3 linked regions of the Saccharomyces cerevisiae S288C genome follow. The gene in region 1 interacts genetically with each later gene. Each region holds a gene or a part of one and is shown in the gene's direction. Other genes may lie near its edges.

What was found.
Region 2: mutations in FET4 (region 1) and YOR296W together harm fitness more than expected from each alone (negative genetic interaction), as found in Saccharomyces cerevisiae (one large-scale study listed by BioGRID).
Region 3: mutations in FET4 (region 1) and ECM4 together harm fitness more than expected from each alone (negative genetic interaction), as found in Saccharomyces cerevisiae (one large-scale study listed by BioGRID).

What each region holds. Positions count from the first base shown.
Region 1 is NC_001145.3:912,454-916,212, reverse strand, and holds FET4 (Fet4p), read left to right. Parts: upstream 1-1,674; coding exon 1,675-3,333; downstream 3,334-3,759. UniProt on the Saccharomyces cerevisiae protein: Required for Fe(2+) ion low affinity uptake.
Region 2 is NC_001147.6:868,496-872,254, forward strand, and holds the start of YOR296W (uncharacterized protein), read left to right. Parts: upstream 1-1,706; coding exon 1,707-3,759. Other genes in the region: ribosome biogenesis protein RRS1, read left to right, coding at 1-456; UAF30 (Uaf30p), read left to right, coding at 713-1,399.
Region 3 is NC_001143.9:580,609-583,895, forward strand, and holds ECM4 (S-glutathionyl-(chloro)hydroquinone reductase), read left to right. Parts: upstream 1-1,674; coding exon 1,675-2,787; downstream 2,788-3,287. Other genes in the region: YKR075C (uncharacterized protein), read right to left, coding at 1-142; MSA2 (Msa2p), read left to right, coding at 3,045-3,287. UniProt on the Saccharomyces cerevisiae protein: Active as '1-Cys' thiol transferase against beta-hydroxyethyl disulfide (HED), as dehydroascorbate reductase and as dimethylarsinic acid reductase, while not active against the standard GST substrate 1-chloro-2,4-dinitrobenzene (CDNB).

The sequences.
Region 1 (3,759 bases):
CTCGACGTAAATTACTCTCACGAAGGCAAAAATATAACCTAGCCATTGAGTCCTAACCTACTATTAGCGAGATCTTTCTCATTTCGGCTTTAGAGTGTTCATTTTAATACGATGGCCAAAATTAAAAAAATTCGGCCATCAGACCTTGTCGCTTTACTAAGAAGTTATACGGATGAAGATGAATTACTTGAATAAAGATCTTCACTCACTAAATGAAAACATCTGCAGCACGTGCTTGTTATGCTTAACTCCTTGTAAAAATAGTGTATTTCAAAAAATACGCAGTGACAGAGTAAAGATACCCTAACTTTTGTCCGTTGTCCTCCGGTTCCATCATTGCCAAACTAAAGTACTAAGACCATTATCGTGGGTAAGATCATACATTTAAATAAAATAAAAGATACGTAAGCACCTAGATTCCTGGGACAAGCAGCTCAAAATATTTGTTCCTCTTTCCTGTATGAACTGTCAATGCGTTGCTGCTTCGCTGCACGTATTAAGGATTTTGATGGAAGGTCCAACAAAGAAAAAGAAACGTGCGCTTTTAAAAAAAGAAGCTTTTCCTACCAAAAGTTCTTTGATCTGCTTATTCAACGTAGCATCTTATTCGCATACATTGGACTCATGTTTAAGGCATTCTAATCACACCAGTTTCCTTGCATATGAGCAAATATCTGTGCTTGCTGTTCTAACCATACGTACTACTACGTTGATTGGATTATAATGTCCTTTGGGTATTCTCCGATTACGTTGTCCCATTTTTCTTTTTTGCCTTGTTGCGAAGAGCGTTGTTCCGAAAACCGGGTGCACTTTTTGTTCACTTTATATATCCCACGAGGAGACTGCGCGAACATGATATGTTTGACCTGGCATAGTGCTATTGTTCATAAACAATAAGCCCCCTAAATACCTGCATGTACGAAGGTGTACGTACGGTCATTCGCATTTCCCTAGCATTACTTTCAGTACTGGACAGGTTATTTTTACCCCTCTAGTTTGCGACTACCACTAAATGGGCCATTTTTACGTGTCTACGACATATCGCAAGGGTTTTTTTCTTTTGTCTTATTCGAGTAATTATATAAGCGCGCGTAGTCATTTTTTTAGCGAGACCCTAGGGTCCTGTAGCAGTAATTTGAGGTTTTCATGGCTCGAACAACGACAAAATATTGAGGAATCTTGAGCCTTATTGGGGCGTAAATCACACAGGTGTTGAATGAGCTTGGAGCTTGTGCGGTTATGTATTAGATATGGGCAGTTTCCTTTAACGTTGGCGCCTCTTTCTTTCCTACCCGTGGGGTTGCTCTCGAAACTGATTAGGTCATGAGCATTTTTGCTGAGTCTTTTTAGGAAGCAGCATTTTTCTCAAACGAAAAAAAAAAAAACCAAAAAAAAAAATAAAGACAAAAAAACTATATAATGCTACTGGCCTTGAACTTGCTTGGTAGAAGCCTTCTTAATTGCACCCATTAGTTTAGCATCTACCACATCTTGATTCGATGCTCTTCATTTAGAAATACTTGTTTATATAAATATACTTCACACGGCATGAATTAATTGATAGGTAAGTAAGTTTCTTTTATCATAAGTCAAACAGTATCAGATATAAGAAGGGAAAAGGTAGATATAGAAACCTAATAAGACCCTTATTATTAAACATTCGTTAATCAAATTATGGGTAAAATTGCAGAGTTTCTCGGGAATCCAGGTGCTAGGCCTGACGTTCATCATAGAGCACCTACTGTTGACTGCAAACAGTACGAAGAATTCGGTGATTCTAACGATTACAAAAATGATGATGTGGTCAGAGTAGTCAGCCATAGCGATGAGAGTACTGATGACGAACTTTGTAATGTGAATTTAACAGAAACAGGGGCAATCTTCACGAGTAAAGGTTTTACCGGGTTAAGCAAAGGTTTCACAGATAAGACCCTGGATTTCCTGGTACGAGTGGCCGGTTCGCAGGCGGTTTTTTTTATTGTTTGGATCATCCTCATAATTTGGGTGGTTATTGGTATTGTTTATAACGCACCTTTCAATTGGCAAGTTGTTATGCAGGACGGACAGTCTATTCAAAGTTATGTTTGGGACACACTGTTGATGAGACAACAGTTGATGAGTACGCATGAACAAATTTTGATCTGCGGTAGATTGAAGTCGAGATTGGCTTCCTTCAAAAACTATCTAACAAGAAGCACCCCAGAGGAAGAAAAAGCAGACTGCACAGTTGAAGCTAATGAAGTCAGCTCTGTTGAAAATCATATAGACCCATCTGCCATTAACGGAGAACTGCCTGTGGAAAATTGGTACGACCGTTTATCTAACGTAGCAAGTAGGTATATGGGTTCAATTGCAGCAATGGTGATATTTTGGATAGGTATTTTCGTTTGGATTGGTTGCGGTGCTATCCCAAAAGATGCGGGCAACACTCCACCTTACACCGGAGAAACTACAGGTAGTAATCCAAGATTGAAAAAGTTCAGTGACGCTTGGCAGATGTATATTAACACTGCAGTTGCAGTTTCCCTTCTAATTTGCACTACTTTCTTACAAAATATAAGGGCTAGACATGATTATTTCACGGGGAGGTTTTTAGTTGATATCTTTGATATGGACGAGAAAATCGACTATCGTATAAGAAAGCATTTTAACGATTTTGAAACACCTCACCCAGTTGTTACTATTGAATCTAAAAAAAGGTCGACAGGGAGAAAGATGATTGATTGGTATGCTGATATTATTGGTACTGGTATTGGTGTCCTGATTGGTGTGGCAGTGTTCGCCACATGGATTGGTATTGGTTCGCCAATGAAGTGGGATGATAATTGGTGGTTGATTATCGGTACATACACAGGTTTAATTGGGTTTTTGGACGGTTTCGTTTTGAGAGAAGTGTACTTCCGAATCGTTCAACATGAAGAGAAAAATTATTCTGATGTGGCTAAAGAAGACCTTGAATTATTCCAAGAATTAGGTATTGAATGTCCCGAAGAATTTAGTGGTAAAGCTCCTGAAATTAACACTATTGGTTACAGAACATCCCAATATATTAATAGGATCTGCTCAACTCCATGGAGTGTTCTTGTATCCGTCATCATCATCATTGGTTTAATTTGTATTGCTTCCGGTTTGCGTTGGAGTACAACAGGTCAATTGATTGCTAACACGCCAACTATGATTATCGAAGAATTTTTCTTGCTAGTTTTGTTGCAAGCACATAATTGGGCCGATCGTCAAAGAAGAGTGGAGGTTACCGCTTTGTACGCACGTAGGCGCATACTTCTATCATACGTAGAAAAGCGTTTCCCAGAGGTTATGATGTTGGAAAAATAGCTTCATTGAACATTTTAGCATTAGTGGGAAGAATTCCTCATGTTACTTATGAGGGAGTTAATTTTCCTTAGGGATTTTAGGAATTTCTATACGGAGGTAGCGATCGACCTTAGAACTTTTATTTAGTTTGTACATATACCTCACCTGAGTTTTGCTTTTTTCTCTGGGAGCCTAAACCATTTAAAATGATATATAATAGATAATAAATCCAGGATAAAATGTGGCTAATTGATCTTTTTTCATTTTCAACTTGGTAATGACGTACTGGATACTTTCGACGCTCTTTTTTAGTCCCCGATCCCCGTCTTCCAGGACCTTGACGTGGAATTCCGATCACAGCCACTCTCGTCACGGCTCCGTTAAAATGAATGGTTTTCCGTTACATTTACTGGTCTTTTTATCTTTTTACAGTAAATGGGTGATATA
Region 2 (3,759 bases), on another chromosome or scaffold:
CTTACTCGTGATAATGTTCAGTTACTAATCAATCAACTATTATCACTACCTATGAAAACAACAACGGAGTCTGTAGGTGGCACCGGCGGTCAAAGTTCCGTGATGACCTTGTTGCAGCTTCCTGACCCTACCACTGACTTACCAAGAGAAAAGCCACTGCCAAAGGCTAAGGCTATGACCAAATGGGAGAAGTTTGCAGCTAAGAAGGGTATTAAACCAAAGGAAAGGGCAGGAAAGATGATTTATGATGAGGCATCCGGTGAATGGGTTCCAAAGTGGGGCTACAAGGGCGCAAATAAGAAGTTAGATGATCAATGGTTGGTGGAAGTTGATGATAAAGTAAAAGGCACTGACAATGAATTGATCGATCCAAGAACTTTGAATAGGGCAGAAAGAAAACGTTTAGTCAAGAAGAACGAAAAACAACAAAGGAGAAATATGAAGAATGCCTTATGATAGTGAAAGACGTTGTTGCTTCCTACTTGCGTCCCCAATCGATCCGCTAACCTTTTTTTTAACTACAGCATAACCTCACATCTACGTATCCTTACATCTATAATATTTTTAAATAATTGTAAATTAGAAAAACATCAAAATTCCGTTCTATATTTTGATACATTTTTTTGCAGTAGTCCAAGATGAGATCAGAATAAGATAGGTGAAAATTTTAACAAGTACTAAAGCGTTCGTTGACAGCTTTCTTTGCGTTGCCATGGCTGAATTAAACGATTATAGTACGATGATCGATATTCTTCTCTCTGATATGGATTTGGAAACGGTCACAACTAAAAAGGTTAGGATGGCTTTGAAAGAAGTATATGCAATCGACGTTGAATCACAGGGAAAAGCAATTAACAAATTGATTAGGAAACATCTAGATCTTGTAAAAGAAAGGCCGCGCTTCGAAAGATCTCTTGAGGATCTGCTAAAGGAAAATGCTACTTTGGCGATTGAGCTCACCAAGGAAATTACCGTAAGCAAACGATCATCTGGAGAGGAAAAGAACGATAGCGAAACCAAAGGTACTCATGTTGAGAAGAAAAAAGGGACTGTTAGTAAGTCACCTATTTCAACACGAAAAGTTACACTATCTAAATCATTAGCGAGTTTGCTAGGAGAGCATGAATTGACGAGGACCGAAGTAGTACGACGACTCTGGGCATATATTAAAGCGCATAATCTGCAGAATCCTAACAACAAGAAAGAAATACTGTGCGACGAAAAATTAGAATTAATACTTGGCAAGAGTACCAATATGTTTGAGATGCACAAAATTTTGGCAAGTCATATGACAGAGCCTAAAAAAATAAGCGACTGTCCTCCTCTTATCCAAGAAGTCCGTAGAAAGGAAAAGCCCATCGTTTCAGATTCCGAGCAATCAGATACAAAGGGCATTTGAATCAAGGATATCATGAAAATTTCAAGGCGTTGAAATTTGTGTTGTTAAGGCAACACTATAGGAATGAAAAATGGCCTCTCTATTATAAAGTCCTTTTGCCTTATTTTTTCGGTAGCTGCCTACAATTTGTAACGTTAACATTCCCGGGTGAAAAGATACATGAGTATGTAGAGATTTGTATATATATACCTACGTAGAAAATAGAAAGGCGAATAGCTCTGCTCCTAGTTGAATATTAGTAGCGTTCTCACATCATTAAGAGGATAAGCCGGCATTTTATAGGGCTTTTGCAGCTAGTGTGAAACTTATGAATCGAACAGTCTCCACATTATCATCTACTGTATCTGATGTATCCGTGGAAATACCGTCAATATGCAACGTCATTAATACCGAATTACCAACATCAGATGTCTATCTTTACACTTTAAAACTAATTTTGTTGGATTATATCAACGAACCGCGATTTAAAGAAGCAGCTTTGCTATCGAATAGGACAGGAACGTCAAGGGTTTTATCTGACAAAACGAATCATCAGCAAACGCAACATGGGAAGAAACTAGTGGTTGACAAACAAGACGATATGTCGGAACGCGATATAGTACAGGCAACTTTACGTATATTAAAAGGGAAGTTGGCACAAATTTCAGGAAATAAAAACTTGGCGCCGAATGAGATGCATTGGAAAAGTATTGTTAAGATGTATTATAGCATGCTCGATTCTTCTAGTGCAGATACATTTTCCAAGATGGGTCAAATGGAGGAGGTGGTCGGTTATTTCACAAATATTGCCAGTAATGAACTAAAGAAAATGACTATTAAAAATTCTCGTGACGAGCTGTTCAGTGAAGTTGCTTATTTTATAGACCTAGTAATTGATGTACTTCCAGATAGTTGTGCAAATATCATAAAGAGACTGCTTGATTATAAGATTAATCTTAAAAAAGGCGAGACAACAGTAAAGAAGAAAAGAGCCGCCTCACCTGCCACAGTCCCTCAATATAGAAGCATTTCCGGGAGCACGATTAGCAATAAGCAACCCTCTTTCAAAGTCCAAGATATTTCACATATGAAGTATTTTATGCAGTTATTCGAAACAGATGAAACAAAGCTTCACCAAGACGTAATGGCTGTTAAGGACGATTGTACAAATCCCATATTTTGCGGTGAACTAAGATATCTTAGGAAAAAAATCAAGAAAGACAACGGTACTTTGACGGCTTCTGATTTTTCAAGTGACAGAGAATACAATTTATGGAAGAATTATGAACTTCTTGAAATTGCAAATTTAATGGATCGATTTGAGATAGGCGAAAAGGTTACCTCTCACGGAAACCGTCTTATACCCAAGGATGCAAAAAGCGTATTTGTCCGTCTCATAGGCCTTGTTTTAAAAAAAGAGTGTTCTAATGCTGTAAATGCCATAAATCTTTCTCAAGAAGCTCTATTCTTCTTTCATAAATCAGCGAGGTATTGGAGAATAGAATATCCTTCCACCATCTCCTCGTTGGTTTATTCAGCAGCAAATTTAAGTGTTCTAGGAGATGAAGAGCTAAATATCCCAATAACTGAAAACTTGTTTTCTGTCATCCGCAATAAATATTTATGTTCAGAGGATAATCTGGATCCATCCGCTTGGAATGCTCAGGATCGCTATTTATGGGCTGCAAACCTTTTTCATACGACTGATCAGTCTATGAGGACAATAAATAACCTTTTAACTGCGATATTTTCAGGTACAAAGCCAAAATTTTCTCCAGTTTTGTCATTTTATTATTCAAACATTGTTGGGGATCCAGTAATGGAATTCTATGAAACGCAGTCCGTAGCTGTAAAGAAATACTGGATCAAATTATTTAAGAAGACTCTTTTTAAAGCATCAGAGGATTATTTTGTCTCCCTTCTGCAGGATATGCTAAAGGCTAACGCAATAGAAATTCAAAACGTTCAGAATCTCGTAGAAACAATTATAGAAGCCATAAAAGCGATTCAAAAACGTTACAATAAACCTTTATTGGACGAAATATCTCTGCCTAGACAATGCGCAGTATTTCTATGTGAAGTATACGGTTCGGATTCTTTAAATCTAATAAAAACCGCTGAAAAGAGTACCATGAAAATGACTGGACAAAAGTTGGGTCCAATAGATGCGCTAGATATGTATGATGTACTGAAAGAACTGAGACAGATTTACCTGCAGGTAAAGCCAAAAGGGAAATTTTTCTTTAACCTTGAAAATTATTTCATCAAATATTTGACTCGATTATGTGATGATGTGAGCCGTAATGTTCAAAAAGTTATTAAATCTTCACTAGAAAGCGAGAATTGGCAACCCGTAAATGACCAGGACCATTTCAGTAGAT
Region 3 (3,287 bases), on another chromosome or scaffold:
GTGTCCATGAAGCCGATATTTCCAAGCTTGCATCATTAAATTCATGATGGAAATAGTCAATCGCAGGCTTGTTGTAGTTGGTCATGTTATCCAGTAACATTATATTCTGGTACGAAATTATTGTATCGTCCAAACTAGTCATTTTCTGTATATGTATCTATTTGTGTGTGTATGAACACTTGTGTGTAGTATCTGAATGCGATAAGAGAAAGGGCCAAAGTTGAACTGAATGCAAAAAGTAAAACCTATAAAACCGTGTTGACCATACGCTTTCATATATATATATATATATGTTTGTTTTTGCTAAGACCCGGTAACTGTACTTTTTCTGCAGTCATCCAAGGGAAGACAAAAGAAGAAAGAAAAAACAAGATTAATGTCCCCAGGTTTTTTCTTTTCCTGGCGGAAAAAGCTCAAATCTAACATTTCCCCGCGGGGGTTTCTTTGTAAAGAGTATCGAGTCGGAAACGAAAAAAAAAAAAAGATGAGAAAATGAATTTTTCCGGTCGCCTAAAGATAGAGGTACCAGCGGAAAAAATGCAGCAAAAGCAAAATACCCCATTCAAGTTCCCCCTGTCTCGCCCCTCTCACGCTTCACTGTCCCCCGCTTTCGGTTTTTCCGGCTACGGCATTTCTGTTGAAAGTTGCCGGAAAAACCCCAAAAAGCATAAAAAAAAAGAGCGGGGGGAAGAAAAAAAGATTCCTTTCTATCTTTTCCTTCCCCGGCCTATTCGGGTACTCGCTTCCGGGTCCGCTGTCGTTTATAATGATTAGTGCAGAGAGCTTTCTTCTCTTAGTTTTTCATGTGGTAAAGGCAATGCCATTTAGAAGGATACTACGTGGGGTTCAAAACCGTGAATACGTTGTCTATCGTGTTATGTATGTTCTGAGTTTCTTTTTGTCATTCTACTAGTTTATGGACTGGGACTATGTATCTTGCAGTATGATTTCGTCAGGAAGCTTGTCATAGCAAGGCCTGAACAAATCGTACGTTAAAATAAAAATGAGCACCAATTCGAGTCACTGATGCCTACTGCTCAATCCAACCATCTAGTTCTGCAAAGATACTTACTCCGCATAATTAAAAAAATAAGGTATTTTAAAGTTGTGTAGTGACGAATGTAGTGACGCGGAAACGTTTTACTCGTCAATGGACATTTGCGAATGTGTCCGATAAATAGTTGAGGCTTTTCCTGCATTCTGTCAAGAAGGGTATGTGTATGAACATGCAAATGACACTGTAAAATGATTCATTACCCTGATTATGGAGTGATTTTCTTTCCTTTTTTTTTTTACATTTAGTTTCATTATTATGCAAATTAGAGGGTATACAGTTGAGATTTTAACACTTTGAATTAAAAAGTGTTACAGAGGAAACCGACGCAAAAGGCTTGGTGACGCAAACTTTTCCATCTTTATTTCACCTCTTCAGACGGTCCTAAGACCTTTTGAACGTATCAATATAGTTTTATCATCTGTTCTCTGTTGTTCTCCGTTACTAAGATATTAGTCAGCTCTTGAAATTTCACACCCCTATTTATTTGTCTTAGCGTCCAACCCCTCTCAACCCTTTTCCATTTCTTGTATAAAGGTAGTTAATTAGGTAACGCTGCTCTTACCATCACTACAGTGCTTACGAGAATTTACCCAAACCCTGCGCAAGATAAATAAGAAATGTCGAAACAGTGGGCGAGTGGTACAAACGGAGCTTTCAAAAGACAGGTTTCGTCCTTCAGAGAAACAATCTCTAAGCAACACCCAATTTATAAGCCAGCAAAGGGAAGATATTGGTTGTATGTTTCACTTGCATGCCCATGGGCCCATAGAACACTAATTACGAGGGCTTTGAAGGGATTAACCTCTGTTATAGGATGTAGCGTAGTCCATTGGCACCTTGACGAGAAAGGATGGAGATTTTTGGACATGGAAAAGCAATTGGAGGACAGTGAAGATTTTTTGGAACATTGGCACGATGTTGCAGGTGGTATTAGAACTGCTAAAGAGGATTCCAGCAAGAGCTTCGCCGAGATCAAGAATGACAGTCAAAGATTCATGGTTGATGCTACCAATGAGCCTCACTATGGATACAAGAGAATCAGTGACTTATATTACAAGAGCGATCCTCAATACTCGGCAAGGTTCACCGTCCCAGTCCTGTGGGACTTAGAAACCCAAACAATTGTTAACAACGAAAGTAGCGAAATTATAAGGATTTTGAACTCTAGTGCGTTCGATGAATTTGTCGACGACGATCACAAGAAAACGGACCTTGTTCCTGCTCAGTTGAAAACACAGATCGATGACTTCAATTCTTGGGTTTACGACAGCATCAACAATGGTGTATACAAGACCGGATTCGCAGAGAAAGCAGAAGTTTACGAAAGTGAAGTCAACAACGTATTTGAACATTTGGACAAAGTGGAGAAAATCCTGAGTGACAAATATTCCAAATTGAAGGCCAAATACGGTGAAGAAGATAGACAAAAAATCTTGGGTGAGTTCTTCACTGTGGGTGATCAATTAACAGAAGCTGACATTAGATTGTATACTACCGTCATAAGATTCGATCCTGTGTACGTCCAACATTTCAAATGCAATTTTACCTCTATTAGAGCCGGATATCCATTTATTCATTTGTGGGTAAGAAATTTATACTGGAATTATGATGCCTTCAGGTACACAACAGATTTTGACCATATCAAGTTACACTACACGCGTTCCCACACAAGGATCAACCCCTTGGGAATTACGCCCCTGGGACCCAAGCCAGATATTCGTCCTTTATAACAAGCTGTAATTAAATAATCAAATGTCTATAATCTCCCTGAGTTGCCTCTTTTTCTATACTCAATTGGGTAATTGACGCGAAACGCGTTAAAGTGCAAAAAAAGGCCTGGAAATTATATTTAACGCAATGAAATATTTTCATAATATGACATTCATGCACAGCTGTATTCATTCTTCTACTTTGTAGTTTGTTATTCTTCTTTATCGGTTTCGTTTTACAAAAGATTTTAGCAAGGAAGCAGTTTTTAAACCAATCAATGGTATACACAACACCGCAACAACAGCAGAGATTCAGCTCCACACCGCAATCTAGCCACACTCTTATCTTCTCGCCAATCAGAGCCCCTTCAATGCAAACGCCCTCCTCATTGGATTACCAATCACCTTCAATTGTTGTGTCATCGTCTTCAATGAAGGTTCACGGCCGGTCTTCCAGTTTCGGTAAATTTTCACTGTCTATTGGGCAAAATGGTAAGGCTACAATACTGGGGCCTATAAAC